2 linked regions of the Saccharomyces cerevisiae S288C genome follow. The gene in region 1 interacts genetically with each later gene. Each region holds a gene or a part of one and is shown in the gene's direction. Other genes may lie near its edges.

The links. Genes that interact genetically often act in the same process or in processes that back each other up.
Region 2: mutations in SHB17 (region 1) and TAL1 impair growth when combined (synthetic growth defect), as found in Saccharomyces cerevisiae (one study listed by BioGRID).

The regions. Positions count from the first base shown.
Region 1 is NC_001143.9:520,397-524,478, reverse strand, and holds SHB17 (sedoheptulose-bisphosphatase), read left to right. Parts: upstream 1-2,766; coding exon 2,767-3,582; downstream 3,583-4,082. Other genes in the region: PLN1 (Pln1p), read left to right, coding at 1-256; YKR045C (uncharacterized protein), read left to right, coding at 510-1,061; UIP5 (Uip5p), read right to left, coding at 1,133-2,464; SUN family protein UTH1, read right to left, coding at 3,855-4,082. UniProt on the Saccharomyces cerevisiae protein: Sedoheptulose 1,7-bisphosphatase involved in riboneogenesis. Dephosphorylates sedoheptulose 1,7-bisphosphate (SBP), which is converted via the non-oxidative pentose phosphate pathway to ribose-5-phosphate.
Region 2 is NC_001144.5:835,284-839,422, reverse strand, and holds TAL1 (sedoheptulose-7-phosphate:D-glyceraldehyde-3-phosphate transaldolase TAL1), read left to right. Parts: upstream 1-2,065; coding exon 2,066-3,073; downstream 3,074-4,139. Other genes in the region: ILV5 (ketol-acid reductoisomerase), read left to right, coding at 170-1,357; BUD8 (Bud8p), read right to left, coding at 3,260-4,139. UniProt on the Saccharomyces cerevisiae protein: Transaldolase is important for the balance of metabolites in the pentose-phosphate pathway.

The DNA.
Region 1 (4,082 bases):
AGAAAAGTACGACGCCATAGTGAAGCCCACAACTGACAAGTTGCAGTCTGTGTACATCGACCCAACAAAGACTAAGCTTAACGAAACCTACCAACGCTTCACCACTGTCTATGAAAACAATCTAAGTAAATCTGAAAGCGTCCCTAAAGCCATTGTATCCACCGGGTTGGACTTGGGCAATGCCACCATTGAGAAGCTAAAGGCCTCAAGAGAAGACCAAACCAATTCTAAGCCCGCGGCTGTGTCGACCAATTAGTAATTTGGTTTTGCGCTAATCGTGCGCCTGATTTTTTTTCCTGCCACTCTTATATAGTTATTTGTTATTATTCTATTATTTCATCTATTGTTTGCTAGCTATTATGTACGTTGCTGTTTGAGCACTATATACAATTGAATACCAAAGAAAAAATTATAAAAACGAAAAAAAAAAAAAAAAAAAAAAATTTGGTTATAGCTCGATCAAGAGACAATAAAAGTGAATATACATGGTGCCAAGGGAAAGTCCTAGCATGTCAAACAGTCATCATACATCCCAGGGAAGAAGAAACAAACTTTCAGTGTGGGTTAAAAAAATAATAAACACCACTACCACAACTAACGCATCGGTCTCGAGCAGTAAACCAAGACGCGGCACTAGGGCTGGCCCCACAAGAGTTAAGCGTGCTGAGTTGGATCCGGATGGAACAACCATCAGTTCGTCGTTGCGACCATTGGTTGATCGAAATTCGTTGCATTCGAGCGAATCCGATGACGAAGGAGACCGTCGAGTGGCATGGGATGAACCACCAACAGGCAAAGTAAGACAGCAGCAGCAGCAACAGCAGCAACAACAAAACGACAACGCAAGTGTTATTCCGCTAGTATCGTTTTGTTCCTCGTCAGTGAAGTCGTCTACTTTCTCGGACATTCATTCAATACAGTCTACGAGGCCCACAATATTCTCTAACAGGACGTTTGAGACGAATTCTAGCGTTCTGGCCATCCCACCACAGAGTATATTGGATCGATCAAGAACCCTCCCGCCGTCGAACGCAAGTAACACTACCACAAGAAGACCGTGAATTGGCTACCTAAGATGAACGTCCTATATTGTATTATTTGTGTATGTATGTATGTGCGTGCCTATGCAATGCTACATGGGCAATAGCCCCACAGAATGCGAGCCTGCCCTTTTTCTTCTGGATCTAATTTTTTTGAACCTTCTTTGGAAAACTCTTATGCAAGCAGAAAAAAGATAAATGCCCATGATCAATAGCAAAATCTCGCTATAATGCCATATGGTCAGCACGACCTTGAACAACCGAGAGTGAGGATTGTTTGAAGTTTTCTGTTCAGCTGACTGTGACCCAGTCTTGATGTTTGGTTGAGCTTTGATCATTTTCCATTTGGTGAACTCATCGGGTTCCCTGTCAAGGACCTCGCCAAATTCCTGCTCCAGGAATAGCTCAGCTTCCTTTGCGTAATCATAGGTGTCCTCAATGGACGCATCCATGTCGTTCCAATGGAATTCGCTAGTGGATACGTCCAGCAGCTCCACTGTCTCCGTTAATTGGCCATTTAATGCGCTACAGCCAATGTATCTTTGCCCCGTGTGCATGTTTTTCGGCAAGTACAGATTTTCGGTTGTTTGAAATAACTCAATCCAGTAGTTTCCCTCTTTTGCGTACTGCACGTCGATCTTCAGGAAGCTTATACTTTCCAAATATATTATTCTTAGTTTCGTGACTCGATTCCACAGGGCATTTTTCTTGAGTTTTATGTGGCCTCTTGAATTAAGCCGCAGCGATGTACTGAGTTCACCATCACTATTTATATCGTACCAATCGCTTTCTGGGGCCACATTTATAAACACATCCATAAAGGGTACCTCCTTATGGTCGTGGCCTTGGTTGCGATACGTATCCAAGACAATAAATAGGCCAGGCAGATTTTTCGGGAAGCCCATCAGATCTGTATTATCGGCTATGACGCCCTGAGAATTCATCATGTATTGCTTTTTCGCATACGACGACTGTAAATTCTGTGTGAGAAACCCATTTTCGGGCGTAATGGCAAAACACATTCCATCACCAGTGAGTTGTGTAGTGGGGTCGTGAGAAATTCTGAAAGTGAAAACAATCTCAAAGTCATTGATGGTGTTGTCGCCAATTCCATTGGACAATACTAATCCATGTTTATCTTGATCACGGTCCTGAGTCAATTTGATCGACTGAATATTCCTAATTTGCGTGGCACCGCCTACATGCCAAAACTGGTTGATCTTGTCCAAAAACGGTATAGATAAACTAGCATCATGGTTGGGCACACGCGTTACATGTGATCTTCCTCTTGTAAAGGGGCTAGTCTCTGTATGGTACTGATCACCATTATTGAGATAAATCTCAGCCACTAATTGGAATATTAGAAACAATGATAAAATCAATAGTGATATGGCTAGTTTCTCTGCCCTTACATCTCTTGACATCGTTACTTAAAGAGAGAGCACACACGTTATAAACTACCCACCGCCAAATTGCTATCCAATGTTAAGGATAGACAAATGCAAAAATATATAAAGGAAACCAAAATCTGCTTATATAAAGCGTAAATCTTACATTTTTCACTGCTTACTCACTCTTATTGTTTTTTTTCTGTTCAACCACGCGATGAGTTTTTTTTTTCCATTATTATTTATAGGACAAAAATGAAAAAATATTAGCTCAGATAAGCACATTTTGTTCATAGCTAAGTGGATAGGGAAACACCTACACTTAATTGCAAGCAACAATGCCTTCGCTAACCCCCAGATGTATCATTGTCAGACACGGTCAAACTGAATGGTCCAAGTCAGGCCAGTATACTGGTTTGACAGATCTACCGTTAACGCCCTACGGTGAGGGCCAAATGTTGAGGACCGGTGAGAGTGTTTTCCGCAATAATCAGTTTTTGAATCCAGACAACATCACTTATATCTTCACCTCTCCACGTTTGCGTGCCAGGCAAACTGTGGATTTGGTTTTGAAACCATTAAGCGACGAGCAAAGAGCTAAGATCCGTGTGGTGGTAGACGACGACTTGCGAGAGTGGGAGTACGGTGACTACGAGGGAATGCTGACTCGAGAAATCATTGAATTGAGAAAGTCACGCGGTTTGGACAAGGAGAGGCCATGGAATATCTGGAGAGATGGGTGTGAGAACGGTGAGACTACTCAGCAAATTGGGTTGAGACTTTCCCGCGCTATTGCCAGAATCCAGAACTTGCACCGCAAGCACCAGAGTGAGGGCAGAGCATCAGACATCATGGTCTTTGCGCACGGACATGCATTGCGTTATTTTGCTGCTATTTGGTTTGGACTGGGTGTGCAAAAGAAGTGTGAGACGATTGAAGAAATTCAAAATGTCAAATCTTATGATGACGACACAGTTCCATATGTGAAATTGGAATCTTACAGACATTTGGTAGACAATCCATGTTTCTTACTGGACGCCGGTGGGATTGGTGTTTTGTCATACGCTCACCACAACATTGACGAACCTGCATTGGAATTAGCAGGTCCATTTGTCTCACCACCAGAGGAGGAATCCCAGCATGGCGATGTGTAAGCAATCATTCGAAATGCAAAAAAAGATATGCAGTTATAGAAAGTGATAAAAACATTTTTTTTCTTGACTTTTTATGTTATATAATATGCTATATATGATAATATCTAGTGGTATCTTAAAAAAGAAAAAATAATGAAATAAAAGGGATAGTACAAAGGACTGTGTTTTTTTGTATTGTGGAAAAACGAACTAATTGAAAAATAAACCATAAAATGAACGGAGTAAAAAAAGTACTAGCAAAAGCTTATTTGCAATATTCAAGGAAAAAAGGCCTAGTAGAAGACAAAGTTAGCAGAACCAGAAGTAACTGAAACAGTACAACCGTCAGAGCCAGAGCCAGAGTAGACACCATTTTCGTAAGAGCAAGCACCATTGACGGTAGAGCCATCGGTGGCAACGATCTTGATGTTAAAGTTTGGTGCTTCTTTGTTGTTTGGGTTTGGAATGATGGACAAGTAAGTGATACCATCAGTGTAACCAGCACCCAAGACAACTGGGGC
Region 2 (4,139 bases), on another chromosome or scaffold:
AAATTTTGTATAAAAGGGATGACCTAACTTGACTCAATGGCTTTTACACCCAGTATTTTCCCTTTCCTTGTTTGTTACAATTATAGAAGCAAGACAAAAACATATAGACAACCTATTCCTAGGAGTTATATTTTTTTACCCTACCAGCAATATAAGTAAAAAATAAAACATGTTGAGAACTCAAGCCGCCAGATTGATCTGCAACTCCCGTGTCATCACTGCTAAGAGAACCTTTGCTTTGGCCACCCGTGCTGCTGCTTACAGCAGACCAGCTGCCCGTTTCGTTAAGCCAATGATCACTACCCGTGGTTTGAAGCAAATCAACTTCGGTGGTACTGTTGAAACCGTCTACGAAAGAGCTGACTGGCCAAGAGAAAAGTTGTTGGACTACTTCAAGAACGACACTTTTGCTTTGATCGGTTACGGTTCCCAAGGTTACGGTCAAGGTTTGAACTTGAGAGACAACGGTTTGAACGTTATCATTGGTGTCCGTAAAGATGGTGCTTCTTGGAAGGCTGCCATCGAAGACGGTTGGGTTCCAGGCAAGAACTTGTTCACTGTTGAAGATGCTATCAAGAGAGGTAGTTACGTTATGAACTTGTTGTCCGATGCCGCTCAATCAGAAACCTGGCCTGCTATCAAGCCATTGTTGACCAAGGGTAAGACTTTGTACTTCTCCCACGGTTTCTCCCCAGTCTTCAAGGACTTGACTCACGTTGAACCACCAAAGGACTTAGATGTTATCTTGGTTGCTCCAAAGGGTTCCGGTAGAACTGTCAGATCTTTGTTCAAGGAAGGTCGTGGTATTAACTCTTCTTACGCCGTCTGGAACGATGTCACCGGTAAGGCTCACGAAAAGGCCCAAGCTTTGGCCGTTGCCATTGGTTCCGGTTACGTTTACCAAACCACTTTCGAAAGAGAAGTCAACTCTGACTTGTACGGTGAAAGAGGTTGTTTAATGGGTGGTATCCACGGTATGTTCTTGGCTCAATACGACGTCTTGAGAGAAAACGGTCACTCCCCATCTGAAGCTTTCAACGAAACCGTCGAAGAAGCTACCCAATCTCTATACCCATTGATCGGTAAGTACGGTATGGATTACATGTACGATGCTTGTTCCACCACCGCCAGAAGAGGTGCTTTGGACTGGTACCCAATCTTCAAGAATGCTTTGAAGCCTGTTTTCCAAGACTTGTACGAATCTACCAAGAACGGTACCGAAACCAAGAGATCTTTGGAATTCAACTCTCAACCTGACTACAGAGAAAAGCTAGAAAAGGAATTAGACACCATCAGAAACATGGAAATCTGGAAGGTTGGTAAGGAAGTCAGAAAGTTGAGACCAGAAAACCAATAAAGAGGAAAATAATATCAAGTGCTGGAAACTTTTTCTCTTGGAATTTTTGCAACATCAAGTCATAGTCAATTGAATTGACCCAATTTCACATTTAAGATTTTTTTTTTTTCATCCGACATACATCTGTACACTAGGAAGCCCTGTTTTTCTGAAGCAGCTTCAAATATATATATTTTTTACATATTTATTATGATTCAATGAACAATCTAATTAAATCGAAAACAAGAACCGAAACGCGAATAAATAATTTATTTAGATGGTGACAAGTGTATAAGTCCTCATCGGGACAGCTACGATTTCTCTTTCGGTTTTGGCTGAGCTACTGGTTGCTGTGACGCAGCGGCATTAGCGCGGCGTTATGAGCTACCCTCGTGGCCTGAAAGATGGCGGGAATAAAGCGGAACTAAAAATTACTGACTGAGCCATATTGAGGTCAATTTGTCAACTCGTCAAGTCACGTTTGGTGGACGGCCCCTTTCCAACGAATCGTATATACTAACATGCGCGCGCTTCCTATATACACATATACATATATATATATATATATATGTGTGCGTGTATGTGTACACCTGTATTTAATTTCCTTACTCGCGGGTTTTTCTTTTTTCTCAATTCTTGGCTTCCTCTTTCTCGAGTATATAATTTTTCAGGTAAAATTTAGTACGATAGTAAAATACTTCTCGAACTCGTCACATATACGTGTACATAATGTCTGAACCAGCTCAAAAGAAACAAAAGGTTGCTAACAACTCTCTAGAACAATTGAAAGCCTCCGGCACTGTCGTTGTTGCCGACACTGGTGATTTCGGCTCTATTGCCAAGTTTCAACCTCAAGACTCCACAACTAACCCATCATTGATCTTGGCTGCTGCCAAGCAACCAACTTACGCCAAGTTGATCGATGTTGCCGTGGAATACGGTAAGAAGCATGGTAAGACCACCGAAGAACAAGTCGAAAATGCTGTGGACAGATTGTTAGTCGAATTCGGTAAGGAGATCTTAAAGATTGTTCCAGGCAGAGTCTCCACCGAAGTTGATGCTAGATTGTCTTTTGACACTCAAGCTACCATTGAAAAGGCTAGACATATCATTAAATTGTTTGAACAAGAAGGTGTCTCCAAGGAAAGAGTCCTTATTAAAATTGCTTCCACTTGGGAAGGTATTCAAGCTGCCAAAGAATTGGAAGAAAAGGACGGTATCCACTGTAATTTGACTCTATTATTCTCCTTCGTTCAAGCAGTTGCCTGTGCCGAGGCCCAAGTTACTTTGATTTCCCCATTTGTTGGTAGAATTCTAGACTGGTACAAATCCAGCACTGGTAAAGATTACAAGGGTGAAGCCGACCCAGGTGTTATTTCCGTCAAGAAAATCTACAACTACTACAAGAAGTACGGTTACAAGACTATTGTTATGGGTGCTTCTTTCAGAAGCACTGACGAAATCAAAAACTTGGCTGGTGTTGACTATCTAACAATTTCTCCAGCTTTATTGGACAAGTTGATGAACAGTACTGAACCTTTCCCAAGAGTTTTGGACCCTGTCTCCGCTAAGAAGGAAGCCGGCGACAAGATTTCTTACATCAGCGACGAATCTAAATTCAGATTCGACTTGAATGAAGACGCTATGGCCACTGAAAAATTGTCCGAAGGTATCAGAAAATTCTCTGCCGATATTGTTACTCTATTCGACTTGATTGAAAAGAAAGTTACCGCTTAAGGAAGTATCTCGGAAATATTAATTTAGGCCATGTCCTTATGCACGTTTCTTTTGATACTTACGGGTACATGTACACAAGTATATCTATATATATAAATTAATGAAAATCCCCTATTTATATATATGACTTTAACGAGACAGAACAGTTTTTTATTTTTTATCCTATTTGATGAATGATACAGTTTCTTATTCACGTGTTATACCCACACCAAATCCAATAGCAATACCGGCCATCACAATCACTGTTTCGGCAGCCCCTAAGATCAGACAAAACATCCGGAACCACCTTAAATCAACGTCCCATATGAATCCTTGCAGCAAAGCCGCTCGGTGTTCTTTATTCATAAGCAACCTCATTAATCTATAGTCTGAAACTAATTTCCTTCTTGAGCTGCAGCCAATAATAAAAAATAATGGCGGCACTATACTACAACATAGGAGGATCACAATGATGTTTTCGATGCTGTAAACGTCCCTGAATCCATTTTGACCTGAATCAAACGAATGAATGGAAGCGGTATCGATATGTTGAATTGGCATTCTCGCCTCCAGGTCTATATTTTCAGCATCGTGCCTGTCTTCTTTCCTATTATCAGTTTTTTCTTGTTGCTTTCGTCGTATGCTTCGAGCTGGCTTTTCTATAATGGAGTTCTGTCCCGTGTCTGACTCCGAGCTTTGAGATTTAATTGGAGCTAGCACGAGGGGTTGTCCATGTTCTGGCAACGTTTTATTTTTCTTCTTGTTCATCTTGGTCAATGGAGAGGGCGTCTTGTGTCCTTCATAGCGTGAAAATGGATCAGACTTAGTTGAATTTCCAGATTCTAAGCGTAAAGGTGTCTTCGTCCATTTGCTTGGTCCGGACACACTTCTTAATACGGGAATTGAAGGTAGTCCAATTGGTGGACCTTCTTCTTCTAGGGATGTGGAGGGCTTGCGCGTAGATTTTGAACTGAATTTTTCTTCATTATTATGCCCTATATGGTCTTTAGGAGAACTTTCGTTACTACTGTCACTATTGTGTGAAGGAATCAATATGTTACCAATTAACGATGGACTCTGAGGAATT